3 linked regions of the Oryza sativa Japonica Group genome follow. The protein of the gene in region 1 interacts with the protein of each later gene in a pairwise test. Links are inferred from orthologs where the notes say so. Each region holds a gene or a part of one and is shown in the gene's direction. Other genes may lie near its edges.

Evidence for each region.
Region 2: the proteins of preprotein translocase subunit SECY, chloroplastic (region 1) and preprotein translocase subunit SECE1 interact in binary tests that used the Arabidopsis thaliana proteins (3 or more experiments, as listed by UniProt). The link is inferred for Oryza sativa Japonica Group from reciprocal best matches to the Arabidopsis thaliana genes SCY1 and SECE1.
Region 3: the proteins of preprotein translocase subunit SECY, chloroplastic (region 1) and inner membrane protein PPF-1, chloroplastic interact in binary tests that used the Arabidopsis thaliana proteins (3 or more experiments, as listed by UniProt). The link is inferred for Oryza sativa Japonica Group from reciprocal best matches to the Arabidopsis thaliana genes SCY1 and ALB3.

Annotation. Positions count from the first base shown.
Region 1 is NC_089042.1:9,459,015-9,466,877, forward strand, and holds the start of preprotein translocase subunit SECY, chloroplastic, read left to right. Parts: upstream 1-2,939; 5' UTR 2,940-2,960; coding exon 2,961-3,163; intron 3,164-3,277; coding exon 3,278-3,450; intron 3,451-4,339; coding exon 4,340-4,725; intron 4,726-5,385; coding exon 5,386-5,685; intron 5,686-5,771; coding exon 5,772-5,861; intron 5,862-6,807; coding exon 6,808-6,931; intron 6,932-7,046; coding exon 7,047-7,210; intron 7,211-7,863. UniProt on the Arabidopsis thaliana protein: Involved in protein export. Probably interacts with other proteins to allow the translocation of proteins across the chloroplast thylakoid membranes. Required for normal greening during embryogenesis. Central subunit of the protein translocation channel SecYE.
Region 2 is NC_089038.1:14,051,895-14,059,584, reverse strand, and holds preprotein translocase subunit SECE1, read left to right. Parts: upstream 1-2,790; 5' UTR 2,791-2,807; coding exon 2,808-3,410; 3' UTR 3,411-3,445; intron 3,446-4,841; 3' UTR 4,842-5,420; downstream 5,421-7,690. Other genes in the region: uncharacterized protein, read left to right, coding at 157-212, 371-477, 565-652, 961-1,152. UniProt on the Arabidopsis thaliana protein: Involved in the import/insertion pathway in the thylakoids. The signal recognition particle is not involved in the insertion of SECE1 in the thylakoid membrane.
Region 3 is NC_089035.1:2,774,611-2,782,389, forward strand, and holds inner membrane protein PPF-1, chloroplastic, read left to right. Parts: upstream 1-3,483; 5' UTR 3,484-3,659; coding exon 3,660-4,025; intron 4,026-4,446; coding exon 4,447-4,557; intron 4,558-4,648; coding exon 4,649-4,723; intron 4,724-4,930; coding exon 4,931-4,991; intron 4,992-5,217; coding exon 5,218-5,291; intron 5,292-5,368; coding exon 5,369-5,473; intron 5,474-5,839; coding exon 5,840-5,947; intron 5,948-6,045; coding exon 6,046-6,149; intron 6,150-6,303; coding exon 6,304-6,453; intron 6,454-6,527; coding exon 6,528-6,651; intron 6,652-6,799; coding exon 6,800-6,904; 3' UTR 6,905-6,945; intron 6,946-7,110; 3' UTR 7,111-7,529; downstream 7,530-7,779. Other genes in the region: uncharacterized protein, read left to right, coding at 1-1,525. UniProt on the Arabidopsis thaliana protein: Required for the insertion of some light harvesting chlorophyll-binding proteins (LHCP) into the chloroplast thylakoid membrane.

The DNA of each region.
Region 1 (7,863 bases):
TGTCAACCTGCCTCAATGCCATTGTCTACCCTCTCCGAGCTCTCCGTAGCCGCTACTAGAGCTCGCTTGCTCTCGTGCTTGCTTGCCTATCGGTGAATCTACTGTGCGTGTATGCTCGGCCGCTGGCTTTGCCGTCAGTCGTTCGCTGCGCCGATTGCTCACGCGTGCTCGCCAATGTTCAGTCCGTTGCCGCTCGTCCTTGCGGCAGGCGCTTGCTAGTGCTCTACGTCAACAGCTTGTCGATACTCAGCCACCATCTCTCGCCAGTGCTCTACTCACGGATGCATGTCGTCGTTTCGTCGAGAATCCAAGAAGAGATGGGAAATGAAAGAAGATTAGGGTAGAAAAAGAAGGTGGGGGGCAAACGAGGGTATTCTGCTGAACTTTGTAGCAAATCTGTAATGCCACTTAACTTTGTGGTAGATGTTGAGTATGCTCTCCAACTTTGTGGCGTATCAGAATTTTTCATGAAATTTGTTTATTTGTGTTGTTCTTTTCTTATGAAAATGACATTTATTCAGAAATTCATGCCAAATAATTTGGATGATGCAGACCGTATGTTTTATAAAGGAGCTACGAATTGAAAAAAAAATACATCTCATATTCACATACCCATTGATCAATTTAATTTATGTGTTGTTTTTGTCCCATGTTAGACTTCTTCGTCTTACATTAGGATATCTCAATTTCTATCTGGAGATGGCTAAATGATTTCTGACATCAAATTAACAAAAGATCGTAGATGAGATCGATCTCTTGTCAACATCGGGGCTGTTCAAATTAATGCAATTTTCAACCATACTATTTTTTAAGTAAAGTTGTCAAAAAAAAATATAGTTTGTTACCAAATTTAATAAATACAGAAGAAATCCTTCCAAAATTTGGTAAGGTTTATTTTTGGTTATAATTTAAACAGGCCCATCGACATGGCAAATGTTCTCTCTCTCTTTTAGAAACTATGGCAAGTGTTCTCGTTGGGGAAAACGAAAACTGAAGTGAATTTTGGCCCAGCCCAAACCACAAACCTAAATCGACAAAACAAGTCTTAATCAATCACAGGCCGATCTGCGTTAACAGAGAGGAAACAAAATCATCCCCCAACCACAAAACCAGATATCCGATATTCCTTAACTAATCAAAACCGGCCACAACAGGTCCTTAGGTGGTTTTGACTCCGGTTTTGGCCTACGTAGCGGCTGAGTCAGCATGGGACCCATGTGGACCCCGCATGTCATGATGCCACGTCATCTCTCTTTCCCCTCTTCTCTCCCTTCCTCAGATGGGGCCCGCTTGTCAAGTGTCTCTTCTACCTCCCTCCCTGTGCGCCAACACAGAGAGGAGAGGAAGAGTAGCGAAGGACGACGTGGCTCCAGCGGCCGGCGGTAGGGAGGTCATCGGGGCGAGGAGATCCGACGACCGGCCGGACCAGGCCTGCGCCTCCCGCCGAGCCCGTTCGGGCTGCCCATCCTGGGCCACCTCCACCTGCTCACGCCGCTGCCGCACCAGGCGCTCCACCGCCTCGCCGCGTGCCACGGCCCGCTCCTTTACCTCCGCCTCGGCTCCGTCCCCTGCGTCGCCGCCTGCTCGCCGGTTGTGATATTCTGTCATGGTAATTAGCAGTAGATGGACAGGCATCAGTGACACTGCCGAGTATCCATACCGGTTGTGATATACTCCCTCCGTTTCATAACGTAAGTCATTCTAGCATTTTCCACATTCATATTGGTGTTAATGAATCTAGACATATATATCTATTTAGATTCATTAACATTAATATGAATGTGAGAAATGCTATAATGACTTAAATCGTGAAACGGAGGAAGTAGAAATAGAATAGGCGGTGATACTAATTTCAGGTAAAACGAAATGAAATCACAGTACAATTCGCATGACATAATAAATCCATTGTTGTTAATTGACAGCGCTACGCTACGCATACCATTTACTCTGAGCAAATCATACACCAATTGATTCTAACAAGTTACTATACTCTACTCTGCAAGCAACTGGTTAGGAAATGAAAAAAAAAAGGAAAAAGAAAGCAAGGATCGAATCTAAGCAGCTGATTCCAACGAGCAACAAGGAAAATGGGGGTAGAAGTAGAAGCGGGGCGGTGAGACCAGAGGATGGAGGCGCAAATCGGTGAGCTCGGAGGCGACGCCACCCGCCACCTCTACCTCGATGCGGCCCCGAATCCACCTGCTCCGGGCGCGTGGGTCTCTTGGTGGCCGGGAAGGAGAGGCACGGGATCGACGATCTGGTGGCGGTGGCGGCGGTGGCCCGACGAGGAGGAAGAGGCGACACGGGGCGGGGAGAGGAGCAGCCCGCTGTGCCTCTGCGGCTCCGCTTGATCTCCGGCGAAGCTCCTCTACCGCCGCCGGCGGCTGGTGGAGAAAGGTGGACCTCCTCGCCCCGACGACCTCCTCCCCATTGCCGGCCGGCCGCTGCTGCCGAGCCGCTGGAGCCTCGCCGTCCTTCTGAGGAAGAGACACCTCTCTTCTCTGTGTTGGCGCAGGGAAGGAGGTAGAAGAGACACCTGACAAGCGGGTCCCATCTGAGGAAGGATGAGAAGAGGGGAAAAAGAGTTGACGTGGCATACTGACACGTGGGCCCCATGTGGGTTCCACGCTGACTCAACTGCCACGTAGGTTAAAACCGGAGTCAAAACCATTAAAGAACCTATTGTGACCGGTTTTGATTAGTTAAGGGACGCCGGGTATCTGGTTTTGTAGTTTAGGGACGATTTTGTAACTCGAGGACAAGTTGAGGGACCTTCGATGTACTTTTTCCTAACAGAGATGTGCTTTAGCGGCTAAGCCTAAGCTAATTACGGCCCACGACCACGAGCCCGGCTGAGGCCCAGGGCCCAGAGCCCAGGGCCCATCCTCTGCGCCGCTGCCACCTCCTCATTTCACCTCGCTTATCGCCTCCCAAATCCACTCGTCCGTCTCCCTCCACCCATGGCGGCCATGGCCACCCCGCAGCAATGCTGGCTCCCCACCCGCGCGCGCGCTCCCCCTCCTCCTCCTCCACGCGCACCCTCCTCCGCGTCCCCCGTCTCCGGAGCTCCCGCCTCCCTCCGCTTCCGTGGGCGCCGCGCCGCGTCGGCGTCGGCGTCGGCGGCGAGGAGGAGGAGGGGAGCCTCCCTGCCCTGCTCCCCCAGGTAGCATACCAGCATCACTTCTCGAGAGTAAAATTGCGCCGTACGCGCTTCATCCCGCATTGGCGGAGGAGCTCCGCTTCATTTCGATCTTTTTTTTGCTTATCCGCTTCGCAGGTGCGCGTTGGAGACGGCTGGCCCTGGCTTTGATCCCCTAGGGCTGTACAACGATGGGCCTTCGAGGAATGACACGCAGTCCCCGCTGTCGAACTTCTTCGGAGTACTGTCGCCGGTGTTCGGGAGCTCGAGCGGCGGCAGGAAGGAGAAGTCCTATGGACGAGGAGCAGCAGGTTGCCAAGTTAACCCCTTCCTATTTTTTGTGCGTGTAACTTTGAGAATTTGTTGTTAAATGCTTTTGGAATATCTGTACTAATTTACCTATGCAGTACCATTCTACATCATTGTAGGAGCGTGTTATTACTTATTAGGATAAATGCGTAGTTTGAGCTGAAGACGATGTTATGTTAGTAAATTGTTAGTGAAGAAATTATTGAAAATTTTCCATCTAAGTAATATGATGAAGTTCTGAGAGAGCTACCATGTAATTTACGTAGTACTTAGATTTTTTTTAACACAGATGTAATCTGGTAATGGTAAATCCTAGAGACTTCAGTATGCGTGAAAGGAAACCTCTTGATTACACATGGTTTTGACATAATGTTATCAGCAGGATCTTGCTTGTTATAAATATGTGGAACTACTACTCTAACTTTTCATGTTGTTTGTAAAATTAACTCAAGTTATGTTCATATTTTTCTATCAGTGCAAAAACTTATTTTACCCATGCATGCCTCATAGGCTGTTACTGTTCAATTACTTACGAGCATTGACCTATGTTGTTCATGTATCTGCAGCTTGAATCCACTTTAAGGCTCAGTTCGTTCCCTCCCTTTCCCAACCTCCCTTCCTCGTTTTCCGCGCGCACGCTTTTCAAACTATTAAACGGTGTGTTTTTTGCAAAAAAATTCTATACAAAAGTTGCTTAAAAAAATTATATTAATCCATTTTTGAAAATTTTTTTAGCAAATACTTAATTAATCATCCGTTAATCGCTGCTCCGTTTTCCGTGCGTGGGAGTGAGGTTCCCAACCCTCACTCCTGAACGCAGCCTAATAAGTTTAACCAACTAGAATTCCTATTTAAAATGTGTCTTAACCCAAGTAGTTCCCTTTTGAGCAGCTGCAATTGAAGATAGTTCCATTGACATTGGTGACTTCTTCAAGGGTCCTCTACCTGGGAAGTTCTTGAAGCTCCTTGGTTATTTGGCCTTGTCTCGACTTGGTATTTATATACCTCTGGGTGGAGTGAACCGGGATGCTTTCGCTGGTAATCTTGACCAGAACAGTCTACTAGGCACTTTGGATTCTTTTTCTGGTGGAGGTATTGGCCGACTTGGAATATGCTCCCTTGGCATTGTTCCATTTATCAATGCACAGATTGTGTTTCAGCTTCTTGCACAACTTTATCCCAAATTGCAAGATCTTCAGAAAAAAGAAGGAGAGGCAGGAAGAAAGAAGGTTCTTCAGTATACAAGATACGCATCTGTTGGTTTTGCAATTGTCCAGGTTAGATTCTTGGAGCACTTATCATATTTATTTGTCAACATGATTGATTGAAAATTGGAAGACGTGGGATGTCGGTTTCCAGGGTGCCAAGGGGGTACAGTTAGTCTCGTCTAGATTTCGGAGTACTTGAGCAAACATATCTATATGAAGCTCTAGAATATTATGTCGCTAGTCGTTACATTATATACCAACTGACCTTTACTTGATAATATACCTTTAACCTTTTTGACTTGTATTGAACATGTCACAAAATATGACTGTGAATCTTCCAGATTTTAGGAATGCTGGGTGCTTTGAGAAGTTAAAGTTTTTTGAGAAACTATATTTTTTATACAGCAATGACCTAGCTCTGGCGTAGAGGACAAATGCTTAACATATCACAAATACTCTGGAACTTATTTCCACATGCTAATTGGCAAAGTAAATATGCTGTTGAAGCACATAAAATAAAAATCAACCTTTTGTTTTACCCAATTAAGTTTGTGCTGTTAAGTTAACTATGGAAAAACTCTGTTCTGCTTTGCCTGGTTGTACTATACTCCTAGTACTTCATAGTATTTTGTGGTTATTAGTTACAAAATATTCCTTAATTTGATTGAAAATTCGGAATGTTCTAGTACCTTCCTGGCTGGTTTCTTTAATTTGTTTACTTCTTGCTAGGCTATTGGGCAAGTTCTTTTTCTTCGTCCTTATGTTAATGACTTCAGCACAGAATGGGTCCTCACATCTGTGACACTACTGACGCTTGGATCGGTGTTTACAACTTTCATTGGCGAAAGAATATCTGATTTAAAACTCGGAAATGGAACATCTCTTCTTATATTTACAAGTATAATATCGTATTTACCTGCATCGTTTGGAAGGACAGTTGCACAGGCATTTCAAGATGGGAATTATGTTGGGCTTCTGACAATCATATTATCGTTCCTTTTCTTAGTTCTTGGGATTGTTTATGTCCAAGTAAGCAGGTTTTAATTTGTCAAGATACATATGGAATTCCTCTCAAATTGCTCATTGCTTATTTGAGATCACTTGGGTGGTTTCAGGAAGCCGAGAGGAAAATTCCGCTAAATTATGCTTCTCGATACAGTAGTCGGAGTGGAGGGCTCCAACGATCTGCATATCTACCATTTAAGGTTTGCTGTGCTTCCATTTAATTCTATTTAATGTCTATATTTCCATATATTTTGTGCAAGGGTTGAGTTTGAGCTTCAGCTTTTAGTTGATACTCTGGATGCTTCTCATTTGAATACTTACAATTCAGAACTTTCTCCAAATTTATTGATAGTATTACATTTGCATTGTGACTTACCACATGTTGGAAGAATGACCTATCTTCATTTGATAGTTGTGGTTTCGTGCAAAATAAGGGATAATTCTGAAAGTTGGTATGCAGACTCCTAGTTGTTATTCTTGATTATATGTTGTCTGTACTCTTCTAACCGTTCATTTGAATGACACTCAATTCACCTTTTTGGTTCACTTTCTATTTTTCTTTGTTTATTACTTTAAACCGTTCCATTGGCACTTTTGGGTGTCTGACTTAACAATCTAAGGGCATGTTTGGGGGAGCTTCTAGCTGTTGCAGCTTCTCCTAGAATCAGACGCTCCCCCAAACAGTCCAGCTTTTGGTCTAGATTCTGAGAAGCTGTAGTTGTAGAATCTAGAAAATGAACTAGAAGCTAGAAGCTGGGAAACTCAGCTTTTCCAGATTCTCAGAAGCTGCCTACCAGCCAGTTGCTTCTCAGAATTTTAAGCTCTCCAAACAGGCCCTAAATAACTTTGTAGAGGGTGTATGGACGAATTAAAGCCAGAGGATATCACCCATATGTTCTGACTTAACAATCTAAATAACTTTGATCTAACAAGAGTTGGAGCCTGTAGGACCAAGCACACAATTATTCTGTTATTTTTTAGCAAATGAAATAAGATCAAGCTTCTAATATTTTTTTTCTTAACCTCTCTCCATCATTGGGAGTCATAATTGTTCTAATTTCCATTTTATTTGATTTTTTATGTCCTACCTTACAAATTACCAAAGGAAATATTGCTTATGACTTACTATGCTACCATTATGAGCAGGTCAATAGTTCTGGTGTCATGCCTATAATATTTTCTACATCTTCTTTGGCTTTGCCTGGTACTTTGGCACGATTTACTGGCTTAGAGTTTCTTAAAAAGGCTGCCATATCCCTAAATCCAGGAGGTAAACAAGGAGTTTCTATAATTCTTTTGAAATTTGTTGTCTTTATATGGGAGATGGCAATGCAATAGACATTTTGTTTGCATGTAAATCACTTTCTGTTAACTTCATGCTGCAGGTGCTTTGTATATTCCAACTAATGTACTGCTTATAGCCTTTTTCAATTACTATTACACCTTCCTTCAATTGGATCCTGATGATCTTAGTGAGCAATTGAAGCGGCAAGGTGCTTCAATACCGCTTGTACGGCCAGGGAAAAGTACAGCTGCCTTCATAAAAACAGTGAGTTATTGTTCTTCCATTAGAATAAATATTGTTCTTTCACCGCATCCGAATTTTTAGTTTATGTGCATAATGTATATGTTCCTGCTCATCAGCTCATTCTTGTCCATCTGCTTGGTTAATTCGGTGCAATGGTTGTCTGTTACAGAAATTGGCAATGGTCCTTATCTTTGTGTAGTTATCAATGGAAACTGTTTTCGTAGTGACATGATGTATTAAAGAACTCCAAAACTCAGGTTGCAATCCTCTAAAGAAGTCAGTAACCACTAAACAGTCTGTTGTCTCCTCTGCAGTGTTAGATTCATGTGAGGCACACCTGTTCATGAAGATATTCTGTTTTCTTTATCATAGGAAATTTGGAGTTGTAGTAATTGCACAACTTATGCCAACCAGACTGGTTAAACTCATTCATGGCTCATATCATCAGAAAATATCCTAGATCCTATTTATAAGTATCTTGTGGTATGGCCAAATGCTAGTCTTTGGTGGTGGTAAGGTCATTTGCTACATTCAGTTGGTTCAGAACCACATACAAGAGAATTTAGGATGCAATTTATAGTCAAGACTTTCATCCTTCTGGATTTATATAAATCATAGATATTCCTATGTTGGTTATGTGATTCATAAACTGTATGATGTAAATATGCCATCCC
Region 2 (7,690 bases), on another chromosome or scaffold:
CATTACATCGACATTGATGCCCTGCCCAGAACAATGCCATCATCATCATTTGTGTTCCGTATAATCTTTTTATACAATAGCTCAGGCGTGTGATTCTGATATCCTGCCATTATAATGTATGAACATAAGTTCTAATCATATTTTGTGTTCCTTTAGGTCCCCATGCTAATCTAGATGAGGATGCTGACTCCAGAACTGTTCTCGTGACAAATGTAAGAACCTTTCTGATTGTTCCTTTTAGGCAATTCCATAATTTCTTGTTTTTCTTCGTGGTAAATATTTTTGTAGAACATAATTCAATTACTCCCTCCGTTCCAAAATATAACAACCTCATCAGCACATACTCATTCCATCTGGATAATTGTTTCAGGTACATTTTGCAGCAACAAAGGAAGCATTGTCAGGGCATTTTATGAAGTGCGGCACTGTGCTTAAGATAAATATATTGACAGATGCAATTTCTGGGCACCCTAAAGGGTATATATACTTTCAAACTATTTTACCCGTGGCATCTATAAGCTGCCCTGTTGTTAATTGTTGGCTTCTTGTTGCATATCCTTGCAGGGCTGCATTTGTTACTTTCACTGACAAGGAATCTGTTGAGAAGGCAGTATCATTGAGTGGGTCATCATTTTTCTCAAGAGTTCTAACAGTATGACCTTTGTTTTCATTATCAACCTCACTCTATACTATTACTATACTTGTTAACTACTACTTCCTCCGTTTCATATTACAAGACTTCCTAGCATTGCCCATATTCATATATATGTTAATGAATCTAGACATATATGTGTGCCTAGATTCATTAACATCTATATGAATGTGGGCAATGCTAGAAAGTCTTATAACCTGAAACTGAGGTAGTAGTACATTGTAACCTTGGATCTGCCTAGGTCAACTACATTCTCATTAACTACTTGTTGTGGTCAACATTCTCATGCCAACACATTCTATTTCCAGGTAATGCGCAAAGCCGAAGCACCTCCAGGTTTTCTGGCATCTGTTCAACCGATCGGGAGGCCTCTACAGTCATGGAACTCACCACCCATCCAGAAAGGGGTGAGTCCAAGGCAGATCCCTGGTTATCACCTCCAATGGAAACGTGAGCAATCTGTGCTGGAGAAATCCCCTGCCAGTTGCCCTACTAACTGAAGAAAACCACAACAAATGGTCTAGAAGAAAATAGGCCTACTCTACATTGGCCTGGCAGTGGACTGTACTTGCAAATGTACAAAGTTTTTGCTGGAGAAAAATGGCCATGTTTGGCATCTGTTACTATGCCCACAAAATACAGGTTTCTTCCATACAAGGTATTGAGGGCTTCAATTGCGGCGAGATACGTGACATGGGGAGAGATTGCTGGCAACGCCAAATGAATCTGTTGATCAGTTTCCGATTGGACACGTTGTAGCGTATGCCTGAAAACTGTTTTCTGAACTTCACTTGAGTCTCTTCATATCTCTACTGTCACCCTTGTCAAATGTAAGCAGGGCGGGTATTCTGATGATAACATGAAATGAAATCACAGTTCTGAAACATTTACAAACATTTCTAAAAGCAGTATATGTAGTATGGAGTAACATATAGGTAAAAGTACATTGTGTTAAGGTATATGAAAAATTAATGCTTCCACCTCGGTCTCGGTCTATTTGAGTGTGTTAAGGGTGTGTTAGTGCGTAATGCTGGCAGTATTGCATGAATTTTACATAAAACATACAGTTTGAATTATGGTCATTCATGAATTCCACAACTTGACAATTCCACTTTGTGACTCAGGTTCTATTGTTTGCAAACTAAAAAAAAAACCCGAGAAATTTCCCATTTTCGCAACGTCTCACGGAGAAAACCCGAAGCTTCCTGCATAGTTCAATTGATTTGGTTACTTAAGGTGAAATTAGCTTCTTAAGTTCAAGTTCTAAATTTATACGGTTCCTGCATAGTTCAATTGATTTGGTTACTTAAGGTGAAATTAGCTTCTTAAGTTCAAGTTCTAAATTTATACGGTTGATTGTATTTATGACTAAATATTCTTTTAATGATATGCGACATATTCGTCGATAGCAAAGTGTCCTCGATAACTTTGTTAATATTAAGATATATCAGTTTAGTTTTCCGAAGTTGCTCATATGGATAGAGGTGTGTGAGTGTGCACATGTGTTTAGGGCTTTTGTTTGGTAGTGTTGGGAACAAATCTGTTCTGCACGGAAAACGAAGTGGTCCATTAGCGCGTGATTAATTAAGTATTTATTAAATTTATTTTCAAAAATAGATCAATATAATTTTTTAAAGTAACTTTTGTATAGAAAATTTTTATAAAAAATATACGGTTTAGCAGTTTAAAAAGCGTGTGCGCATGGAAAACGAGAGACGTGAGTTGGGAAAGTTAGGGTGTGTTTAGTTCACGCTAAAATTGTAAGTTTGATTGAAATTGGAACGATGTGATGGAAAAGTTGGAAGTTTGAAACTAAACACAGTCTTAGTGTACGCCAAAATTGGAAATTTGGTTAAAATTGGAACGATGTGACGGAAAAATTGGAAGTTTATGTATGTAGGAAAGTTTTGATGTGATGAAAAAATTGAAAATTTGAAGAAAAAGTTTGGACTAAACTCGGCCTTAGGGAAAGAACTCAGCCGTATTCTGTTTCTTAAAAAAAAAAGAAGTAAAGAAACGAAGCCTCTGATCATCTGATCTGACCGTTGATCAGCGATCGGACGGCTCCAGGAGGAGAGGAGACGACCTCCCATCTCCTCGACTCTTTCTTATCTCCGACGCCGAACAGCCGCTGGACCAACCAAACCGGGAAGCCATGGCGACCACGCCGACCACCACCACCACCACCACCCCATCCGCCGCCCGCCTCCTCGCCCCCGCCGCCGCCGCCGCCGCCGCCGCCGCCGCCACGCGCGCTTCCTTCTCCACCCTCCGCCCTCCCGCGATCTCCCTATCCCTCTCCCGCTCCGCCGCCGGCTGCCGCGGCCGCCTCGCCCGCGCGGCCTCCAAGTCCAAGGGCGCAGGCGCAGGCGCGGCGGAGGACAAGAAGGGGCAGGAGCAGGAGCAGCAGGAGGCGTCCGCCACGGCGGTGGACGGCGCGGAGGAGGCCGGGGAGGTGGTGGCGGGAGGAGGAGGAGGAGGGGAGAAGAGCCCCGAGGCGGTGGCGGCGGAGCTGAAGGAGGTGCTGCGGGCGCGGAAGGAGGCGGAGGCCGCGGCCGGCGGCGGCGGGTGGTGGGCCGGCGCCGCGCAGGAGATGTCGGAGATCGAGTGGCCGGCGCCCGGGAAGGTGGTGGGCACCACCGGCGTGGTGCTCGGCGTCATCGCGGGCTCCACCGCCGCGCTGCTCTCCGTCAACGCGCTCCTCGCCGAGCTCTCCGACCGCGTCTTCGCCGGCCGGGGACTCCAGGATTTCTTCTGATGAAGGTTGAGCTGAGAGTCTGAGATAGGCGGAAGGTTCGTGTCTAGCGTAATTACTGCTCCTCGCAATTGCTACTTGTAGAGTGGTGATCGATGAAACCCAAACACTGCTTGTGTTTTTGCAAGATAAATATGGTTAGGTTCTTGACATTATTGATCTGTGCTAACCTCTGGTTGGAGATTTTCTCCAAACAATGAATTTGCCTGAAATTTTTGTCAACTATTCAGAAACCTACCTGGCTACCTAGATGTATTTTCTACTTTATAAACTTATTATACTACTAATATTTGGCTACCTTAGATGTATTTTCTACTTTATAAACTTATTATACTACTAATATTTGGCTACCTTAGATGTATGTTCTACTTTATAAACTTATTATACTACTAATATTTCACAAGAATTTTGATTTGTTGTTCCAGTGGTCTAAGTTAGCTCAAATTGCATAGCTACAACCACAATACATGAGTACATGGTTGAATGCCTCTATGTAGTGGTATTAACCGACCAAATTATCCTGAGTTCATTACAGTGTAGTTACAGTGTAGCTCTCATGTCTGAACTTCGCTGTGTAGCACTGTTTGGATCTCTGAGTCGCACATTGTCATTTTGATCTCACATAATTGATTATCATGAAAAACACCTATTCGAGTGCTCTACAGTGTGGCTGAATTAATTTCTATCTGTATATAATGGCATAATCTTCATTGTAGTTACCCACACCATGTGAACTGAGCATGGTCAATTGTCTAGTGATTAGCGGCGTTGCTGCTTGCAATGCCCCCCCTAGGGTTTTGACTCTCTACACCTAGTGTTTCTTGTTCATCCTAGCTATTCCTGTTGTTGGCCTTGCTTTATTCCATCTCTAGGCTCTGCACCACCTCTCATCACCCACCTAGTTCTGGTGGTACTCAGTTCCATTCCATGTGCTACCATCATAGGAGTACCCTGGTATCTGACATGTCCTATTTGGAGTGTAGAATAACTACAGGATCTCAATGGGAATCAGACGGTTATATGTGAATTTCCTGAAATCTAATTGCCCAATGGGGGCCTTATACTAGATCTTGCTGACCTAGATTTATGCACCAATGGATCTTCTCTTGTCATCTCTTCTTTTCTGAATGGGAAAAACTCTGTTTTGCCTTTTTTGACCTTTGGCTTTGTTTGCCTTCTTTTTAATTTGATTATCGATTGCATGTAAGAGTTGAGGTGCTGGTGTTTCTCCAACTAGTTCTGTGGGATATTGGGGTTGTTACAGATGAAGGCATAAGGGGTAAAGAAAGCAGCTGTGCTGAGGAAGCTGTCAATTTTTTTAACAGAAAAAAACAACAAAAGGAAAACATGAACCAGCCATCTGTTTACAGAACTGCACAATATAATTCTCTGCACCACACATACATAAACAACTTGTTTGTCTACAATCTGCAGATCCTACACCCATGACCCAAAGTATTGAACCACATGAAACAGTCAATGCTTATACAGTTATACAGAAATCAGTGATTCTTTTTTGTGCTGTAGCACCATCTTGGTTTTGATGGCATTATCAGGAAATGCTGGAGATTGCGAAGAAAGTTCCATGAACAATGTAGACATATTTTAATAAATGCCTACCTTTCATGAATCCTGGTATAGGCCTACCTTTCAATGCTGAAGCTAATGGTGAAGACGACAAGAATTAAATCGAGCAGTTCCAATTGGATGAAGCCGGCAAGCATCCATTTGTTCTGTTTGCCAATCTATCGAGGTGCTATGCTGATGTGATGTTGTGCACTTGTGCTGTCCGTATTTATAAGAATATAAGGTTAAACTCCAAAGCATTCAAGGTTATGCTACTGCCTATTTTCTAGTACGTTCATATTTATAAATTGCACCAGGAAGCAATCAACCAAAAGCTTCAGCTGCATTAGGTAACTTATTCACAGACCTATATGAAACAGTTGGTGCAATAACAGTGTGTCATGTTGATTAACCGAAGCTTAAATAAATAATTTTTTTTGCATCCTATTACAGGTGACTAAAAGCCATTATGCTCGTATGCTCTTATTACTATCCCTGAATCAAGCAATTTCATTACTACTCCCTCCGATATAAGTCGCTTTGATTTTTTATAGTTAAATTTAAAAAAGTTTGATCATGGTTATAGAAAAATATAGGAACATTTTCAATACAAAACAAACATATTATCAAAATATATTCAAATGTTATTTTTAATGAAACTAATTTGGTATTATAAATGTTGCTAAATTTTCTAGAAACTTATCAAACCTAAAGAAATTTCAGTAGGAAAAAGTTAAAAAAACTTGTAATATGAAAAGGATGCAGTATCTTTTATTACTCAAGCACTAGGTTCAGTACTACAATGTATAATACTACAGGACTGTTTGCCACATCTCCAGTTCCTGGAGTTGGAGTCTAGCAAAACAGTTTCAGCTCCACTTAAAATGGGAGCGGAGCTGGATGGAGCGCTCTCACAAAATGAACAATAACTAGAGAGGTAGAGTTGGGTTTAGTCTGCTCCACAATTTCACTCCAAACCTAATTCCTGAAGCTAAATTTAGGAGTTGGAGATCTACCAAACAAACCCTACTACTAACTGGGGCAAGCTCACTAGCAATACACCAACGGAACCACCCCATTGCCCCAAACAACCGTGGCCCCGCACTCCAGCGCCACCCAAGCCATCGTCCTCCTCTTGTTGCGAAGCTCAAGAACTGGAACTATTTTTTGGGTCAACAAAAAAGGAAAAAGTACACCGGAGGTCCCTGATCTTGTCACCGAGATACAGAAACGTCCTTGAACCGCAATAACAGACACCCGGGTCCCCCAACTATACAAAACCGGTCATCCAACGTCCCTAGTTGGTTTTGATCTCCCTAGCGTGGGACCCACGTGGCCCTACATGTCAGGTGTCCACATCATCTCTATTTCCCCTCTTCTCTCTCCCTTCCTCCCCTCTCTGCTCTCTCTCTCTCTCTCTCTCAGGCCAGGCCGACGGGGTAGGGAGCAGACGGCTGGGCGGCGGCGCTGCGACGGCGGCCTGCGGCCGGCGGCGGCGGCGTCGCCCTCTTCTTCTTCTCCCGCTCCCGTTCCGTCCTCATCGAAGGTGATCACCGCGGCATCGGGCACGATTAGGAGGATGCTCGAGGAGGGCCGCGGCAGCGGCGGCGGCGGCGAGGACGACGTCGTCGTCAACCTCCCCGAAGTCGTCAAGGGCGCCGCCCTCGCCCGCGTCATGGAGTACTGCGACCACCACCACGGCGGCGGCGCCGACCCGGGCTCCGCCCGGTCCTCCTTCCCTCCCGCCCTGGCAAGCGCAGCAAGCGAGGGAGCGCGGCGGCCAGCGCCTCGCGGTGGCCAGCGCGCAGCAGAGGACGGCCACGCCGGACGCCGACGCTCCGGCCTCGCCGGAGCCGATGAACGCCGCGGCAAGCGCGGCGGCGCCGGCCAGCGCCTCCGCCGTGGCTAGCGCGCCGCAGAGGACGGCCACGCCGGACGCCCACGCTCCGGCCTCGCGGGAGCCGATGAACGCTGCGGCGAGCGCGGCGGCGCCGGCCAGCGCCTCGCCGTGGCCAGCGCGCCGCAGAGGACGACGGCGGCGGAGTACGGGATGGCAGCAGAGTGCGGGACGACGGCGGCGGAGTATGCGACGGCGGCGGAGTATGCGACGGCGGCGGCGGGCGGGACGACGGCTTCCCCTTCGCCGTCGTTGAGCTCGTCGTCCTCGCGACCGTCCGCGTCCTCGCTGCGCTCTACCGCCGCGCCGTTCGTGGTGGGCGCTGCCCTCTTCTTCTTCTCCCGCTCCTAGGATCTTGCCGCTCCCGCTCCCTCCTCATCTCCCTAGACGCCCAACTCGCGGCCGTCTCGTTCTCGGCTTCGGCGGCGGCGACGAGGGGGAGGAGTTGTCGGCGGTGTCGGCTTTGGAGGAGGAGCGCTTGCGGTCGGGGTCGGGGACGGCGGCGGCGAGGGAGCCCGGGAGGCGGAGGGTGAGGGCGGTGTCCTCGAAGTCGAGCCCCAACACCGCGGACGACTGGAGCGGCTGTGTGCGCCTGGTGCTTCGACTCACGGACTTCGCCGGCGTTGGTCTTCACGGCGGTGGCGACGGCGGCGTCGGGTGCCTCCCCGCGTGAGCGGTCGACGAGGCGCGCGGCCTCGGCGAGGTCGTCGTGGGCGATGCAGGCGGCGGACCTCGTGCCTCGGTCGTTGGGGGACGACGCGCTGGGGGCCTCGGGCCTCGTGGCGGCAGCGGCGAGGTGGGCGTGGTGTGCGCGGCCGCC
Region 3 (7,779 bases), on another chromosome or scaffold:
TGGAGGTGGCGGCAGCACCGGTGCCGGTGGTGGTGGTGGTGGTGGCGGTGGTGACAGGGAATTGTTCATCATTCCGCGGCGTGAATCTGCGCATCCAGGACCACCGGACATTAACCTGCCCCTTTCTGCAGACCCCTCACCACCACCGCCGCCGCATCCGCCGTCGTGGGGTATCGACCAGTTCGACATGCTTGATGTCGGTCTCGGCACGCAGACTTATGAGTCTGAGGTTGCGCTCACGCTTCCAAAGTTGACTGGCAATGGCAACACTGCGGTTGGCGTCGGTGCGAGGAAGTGTGCCAAGAGGGGGGACAGCATTTGGGGTGCATGGTTCTTCTTCAATCACTACTTCAAACCTGCACTTGTGGAAAAGCCGAAGGGCAAGGTGACACGGGACTCTTCTGGGAGCGTTTCGGGCTTTGAGAAGTCTGATCTTCGCCTTGATGTCTTCCTGGTGCAGCATGACATGGAGAACATGTACATGTGGGTTTTTAAGGAACGGCCTGACAATGCCCTCGGGAAGATGCAGCTCCGGAGCTTCATGAATGGGCATTCCAAGCATGGTGAGCCATCCTTTCCATTCAGTGCAGATAAGGGCTTTGCAAGGTCACACCGCATGCAACGAAAGCACTATCGAGGGCTGTCCAACCCACAATGCCTTCATGGGATAGAGATTGTGAGTTCACCAAATCTGTCAGCTGTTCCTGAAGCTGAAATGAAAAGGTGGGCGGAACTTACAGGAAGAGAACTTAATTTCTCAATTCCTCCTGAAGCAAGTGACTTTGAATCATGGAGGAATCTTCCAAGCACTGATTTCGAACTTGATAGGCCACTGCCACTGTCATCAAAGATTACACATGGCTCTCACAGTCACAAAAAGGCACTGAATGGTTCAGGTCTTAACCTTTCTACGCCACCATCATCAGACGATGGGATGGACCTTTCACCAAAATGCGCCAAGCGACGGAAGGACTTCTTTGCTCATGGTGCAGATGAGGATTGCGTGATGGCAAATAATTCTTGTTCTGACAGAGAGCAAGAGATAGAAGTTCACACAGGTGAGCCGTCATGGATGCATGAGTTCACTGGTGTAGCAAAACATGCAAGTGGACCTGTTACGGCTGCCAAGACAATATATGAGGACGATGAAGGCTACTTAATCATGGTGAGCATGCTCTTCTCTGATCCTCACAGTGTCAAGGTCTCTTGGAGGAACACATTGACACATGGCATTGTGAAGATATCGTGTGTGAGCACTGCTCGAATGCCCTTTGTTAAGAGACATGACAGGACATTCAAGTTGACTGATCCTTTCCCTGAGCACTGCCCTCCTGGAGAATTTGTGAGAGAGATACCTTTGGCTACAAGGATTCCAGAAGATGCAAAGCTCGAAGCGTATTATGACGAGACTGGCACTGGACTGGAAATCATGGTCCCCAAGCACCGAGTTGGACCCGAAGAGCATGAAGTCCAGGTTTGCATGAGGCCCCCACACCTTGGTGAAAACGATCTTCTTTTATCATAGAACAGAAAACAGTTTAGTCTTTAGATCTTCCTGTGTCATGCCATGATATGCAGGAAAGTAACAAGTGATGCCATGGATATTTTGCTGCTAAACATTTAGCTGAAATTCCTTTCTCAGTAGTGTTGGTGATTTAGGCAAAAAAGTTACCACTTTGTTGATTCTCCCCTGTACTTTTTACACTAGCACCACTATATTGGAGATCTTGATTTCTATGGAACATGGCAAAGTTAAAATTCTGTATATATATCTGATGATCAAGTTCAACGGTTCATTACTCCATAATAATGTCGACAGCTACTTACGACTAGAAGTTCGGAACTGTGTTGTCAATTTCAGCAATTGTTTGTAATCGCTGTCTTAATCATTTCAATGTGCTGTACTACAATACTACTGGCTGGATCGCTTTCAACTGAAACCAAAAACTCGATCCCATTGCTGTACTAACTTCATGATCGATATGCTCCTATGCGAATTCCGTTTGGTGAACCCGTTTGCTGAATCCTGAATTGAAGTGATCAAAATTTCTGTTTTTTTTTTTTTTGCTACAGTAAATTGCACCTTTCCTGGATGCTATGGTGAAGCAAAGATCTTTTTTTCACCTGGACTGTAGCAAATGATATTTTCGGGCTTGCGTGTGGCCAGCAATGAGCCATGCTACCGTGGCCTGCTTCTCACGAGTTCTGTAGTTTGTGTAGCCATGGAGAAAGGAGCGTAATGTGCTTGAGACCGATGGTTGTGTGTGGTCGTGAAACAATCACAGCTTCTGTTCTGAAAGTCTGAACCCCAGTGATGTTTGTTTCATTGTTTGTCGTGTGCTTTTCTTTCTTTCTGACGAATGGTGAATAATTTTTCACTGATACAATGTTCGCGAATTCTTCAGATAGTCCCTTGACCACACTCGATTTTCTTCAGGCAAACAATCTCTTCTCACCCGGGCCGATCATTCAGAAACCAGGCTGTTACTAGCAGACATTGACCATCTGTTACCGTGCTGTCAAAGTAGTACTATTACCGGTGCGGTCTTTGTTCAATGCTGCACAATTCAGTTTGTATTTCACATTCTGAAAGTTTGAAACACAAAATATTCACAAGAATCAGGGAAACAGTTCACGTGTTTCAAACGGGGCCTTACATTTGGTCGATCTATACCCAATTGTCAAAATGGGTTTAGAAAAAAAATGATAATAACGTTCAGAAAACTGATATGTAGGGTATGATTGTAATGAAATTACGATTGCATCGTTGAATCTGAATATAGTGCATGTTTAAAGAAAAAATATGCCAAAAAGGTTGGTTGCGAAATACTCGGGGTTTCTTTGAAATACATTTTTTTTTTCAAATGGTTTCTGCATAGATCAGTGTAATTCCTGTATACGAAGGTCCTTCAAAATTTATTTTTGTCCCCAAGGAGGCTTTTCACTAAAATCGAACTGAAGTGAACAGAAGTGTAGACATTAGGATTCATGTTTTCGATAAAAACCAATTGAAAACCGCAAAAATTCGAGGTTTTGATAGTGTTATGACTGAAATTTAGAATGGTTCAAATCTGAAACAGTCAATTTGACCAAAATTAAACGAAAAGTTATAAAAAAATTGACAAAAACCGTTATATCCACATGGATCAGGATCCGGTGCTTAGGCGAAAACCATCTTACAAATTTTTCGAGGTTTCGACACGGAACGGAAACGTTATTCGTGTCAAAACCTCGAAAAATCATTACTACCTATTCTAAAATATTAGAATATAAAATTGGATGGGACGTTTTCAAGTATAATGTATCATAATAGACTCTATATTATAATAGAAAATATTACATACAGTTTTAGTTTCATTTAGGACAGAGGGAGTATTACGTACACTGTAGTAGTGAGCCGCTTTGATGAAGTGGCGAAGTGGAGTTGTGCACCGAGTCCACAGCAAAAGAGCGCGGAAAGGAGGAAGAAGATAAAGCATCCCCCACCTCCGCCTCTTCCCCTCCAACGACTACCTCTTCTTCCTCCTCTCGCACCACCACCACTCACCACCCCCCACCCCCCACCTCCACCCTCCTCCTCCTCCTCCGCCTCGGCGTTCGTGCATGAAACCCTAGACCCCCCCCCCCTCTAAACCCCCCTCCCTCCCGCACCCCCCGCGATGGCCAAGGCGCTCCTCTCCTCGTCGCTGCTCCCCTCGCTGCAGCCCCGCGCCGCCGCCGCGAGGCTGCCTATGCTGACGCTGCCTTCGCTGCGGAGGCACGGGGGCCGCCGCGCGTCGGCGTGCAGGGTGAGGGCGAGCCTCCACGGGCTCGACTCGATCGCGGGGCTCGACCTCCACGCCGCGCTGGAGCGCGCCGAGGCGGCGCTCTACACGCTCGCCGACGCCGCTGTCGTCGCGGCGGACGCGGCGGCGGGAGGAGGAGGGGGTGGCGGTGGTGGTGGCGGTGAAGCGGCGGCGTCGGTGGCGCAGAAGAACGGGGGGTGGTTCGGGTTCATCTCCGAGGCCTTGGAGGTCGTGCTTAAGGTAAGCGCCGCCGTCTTCTCCCAAACCTATAGGAATCCAAGTCACTTTAGGAGTTCAGGTTCAGGATTGCTAAGATTGGTTAATGGATATATCCCTGAGTTGCAAAAGTTGGTCTGGTGAATTGGTTGGGGAATTGGAGATTTGGAGTCATGTAAGTTCGTGGAGAGTGCAGGAGTAGATGTGCATGCACTTAATTATGACGCCTCCATGCTCTGAAACTTACTAAACATTGAGCAGACGGCAACCCGGCATGGTTATTTTTAAGTAACTTATATCTAGTTATGACCAGGCGTGCATTGTTTAGCATTTTCCTATCCACAGGTTTTGATATGAAATGTTACAATTCAAGAACTGTTAGGATTTTATTGCATAGCATTCATCGGCTCCGGAATGCTGATACTATGTGAGTATCACCATACAGGTGCTGAAGGATGGCCTGTCAGCTGTTCATGTGCCGTACTCTTATGGATTCGCCATCATTCTTCTCACTGTTATTGTGAAGGCTGCAACATTACCTTTAACGAAACAACAGGTAAATGATAAAATCTGGTCTATTTTTTAATTAATGAGTAACATGGATATGGTGGGTTGAGAGTTGTGCTGTTTTTCCTCTCTTTTTTTAGGTCGAATCAACTCTGGCTATGCAGAATTTACAGCCACAGATCAAAGCAATTCAACAGAGATATGCAGGAAATCAGGTTTGTTTTGTTTATCTTTTACGCACGCCATGGATATTAAAGTAGGAACACTGAGGTTTGTTTCTGGATATATGTTTTGCATATTTTAACGATAGAAGGTAGAACTATCTTCCCAAAAAATGTTCTTATTTCACTGTTGTGTTTTATATTTTCAAGCACATATCTTTGGGCATTTCTGATCTATCACTCCTACATAACTCTTATTAGGAAAGGATACAGCTTGAGACTGCTCGGTTATACAAGCAAGCTGGAGTCAACCCTCTGGCAGGTCGCTTACTTCTCCATTCTTTAGCCTATTAACTTTGATAGTTGAATTGTTCCATTGCATCTTTTTTGTATGAGTTTGTTATTTATTAGTTGATCATATTTTCTATTTCTCGACATAATGCATCTATTGCCATCATGTGCTTGCAAAACCAATTGTTGGCTTTTTAAAGTTTTAAGTGAGATTGCTTTTGTGATATAGTGTTTTGATATTATGGTTTCTCTTCCAGGATGTTTTCCAACTTTGGCAACAATACCTGTCTGGATTGGCCTCTACCAAGCCCTTTCAAATGTAGCAAACGAGGTAAAACTCAAATCCTGCTTCCTAATATTTGCTTCATTAAGAGGATTTTGTTCTAAGTGGCTTATATTTCTCTGAAGGGATTACTGACAGAAGGATTTTTCTGGATTCCATCTTTGGGAGGCCCTACAACAATTGCTGCTCGGCAAAGTGGTGCTGGCATTTCTTGGCTCTTGCCTTTTGTGGTAATAAAATTGATCACACGTTAACATATATCAACAATTTCATTGCTGATCTAGGAAAATCAGGTTTATAGTGCACTTGAGCGAATTTAACCTCATTTTCCCCCCTTATTTGACTTTGACATACCCGTCAAGTTAGATTAGTGTCACGTTTCTGCCCATAGTCATTTAAGCAATCAAGCAACAAGAAGCTTAGCTATTTGCACCTCGCATTTTGTTGCCTATTATTTAGAACTCTGGTTGAAATAAATGGCGTGGCATACCAATTTATAGTCCTGTAGAGACATGATAGTAAAACAGCATATTACTCATGTACTTGCATAATATTGAGATGGTAAATCATACTTACAACTTAAATGAATTGTGCAGGATGGCCATCCTCCATTAGGCTGGCATGACACGATATGTTATCTTGTGTTGCCTGTGCTACTTGTTGCTTCTCAGTTTGTCTCTATGGAAATCATGAAGCCACCCCAGGTGAGCAGACGAGCGGTGCTCTAAATTACTATATCATCTGTCATATTGCCACTATACAAGCTATGAGTGGCTGGCAATTTGATCCTTTTTTTCTGCAGACTGATGATCCATCGCAGAAGAACACACTGCTTGTTTTGAAATTTCTTCCATTTATGATAGGGTGGTTCTCTTTGTCAGTGCCGTCAGGGTTGTCCATTTATTGGTATGTGCATTTGCTATTAGTTGTATGAGTGTTTCAGTCATGTTCCATGCTATAGTGCTATGCCTCATAGAGATTGTGGGACTCCTCCACTGCTCATTAACTTCTTGCAATTGATCAAATCCAATATGTGTATTGACTCCATGTTTGCTATCAGGTTCACAAATAATATCCTCAGCACAGCCCAGCAAGTTTGGTTACGGAAACTGGGAGGAGCAAAGCCTGTTGTCAATCAGGGGGGTAGTGGGATAATTACTGCAGGACGAGCAAAACGTACGAGTGCTCAACCAGCCCAACCTGGTGAAAGGTGCTTTTGAACCTCACATGGCTTTTAACCCTATTATATTCTGGTTTTGATTTTTACAAAAATATCTTGAATAGATTTAAACAGCTGAAAGAAGAGGAGAGCAAGAGAAAAGGCAACAAAGCGCTTGCTGCAGGAGATTCAGATCTTTCAGCCTCAACATCAGAGGATGAAGAGTCGGATGATGAGACTACTGAAGAGGTACTCAATCTTTTTTTACCATTCATTTGTCCTGCTGGAGCACTGTGTAGTAGACAGTTCAAGCTAGTCATCTTAGAAAATCACTATTCCCCTTAAAATAGTCCGTGTGAATCATAACAAATTTCAATTACTGATGTAAAACGGACAGCAGGGAGGACCTGAGGAAAGATACAATTCCAGTAGCAACAAGAAACTTCCAAATTACTCCGGAAAGAAGGGCAAAAGATCAAAGAGGAAGCGCATGGTTCAGTAGGTGTGACAGAACCTGATTGGATTTCATTTTTGTCATTACTGGTAAGTACTATGAACACACAAACACCTTTTTATAAAGAAGCTCACTAGCTTATTTGAATTCTGGAGTTCATGTTTTTTAAGTGGCAAAAAAGAAAGGTTTATACTCTATCTTATCATATGTCCTTGATCAATTGGTGTTAATGTCATGTACATTTACAAATACAGGTTAATTCAGTTGGCCAGTACGGTTGTGTAGTTGATCTCGGACACAATTTTGATGATCAGTTGGGAAGGCTAATCTTCAGGTGCAGGACAGACACGAAACATTCCAGTGGTACAGGTGTTTTGCTGGCACACAGCAAGATGAAAATAGTTCAGTACACTACAATAGGTTTGAGAGGATAGGCATGGCTTGAGTATGTGCTACAACATAAGAGTAGTACACAAATTATTCTTGTGCTACTCTGCAATGTGGGTACCAAACTCACGCAGGAATTGCATAATTCATGCTCTACATGCATTTATTTCCCTCTTGTAACCTAATAACATTCTTTGCGGAGTATATTGCAGAAGTTAGAACAATCCAGTCGCCTAGAAAAGGTGAGGAAAAAAAAATACATTGCTGAACTTACGTCTACTTTAAATCTTTGAGCCAATTTCTGTGATTCTGAGCAATTATACTAATAAGGCCAAATCCTAATAATTCGATGAAGAGGTGTTTGGTTTGGTTGGAGACAATATATCATTAGCTCAACTGCAGCTTGTCGAATCTGCTGGCTACAATTATTGTGCCTGAGATGTCTGTGCCATACTTTGTTTGCACTTTTCACATTTGAGGCAAACTTTGTGTGCACGATTGATCAATTCCACACCGTTGCTTTGGCACGCATTTTT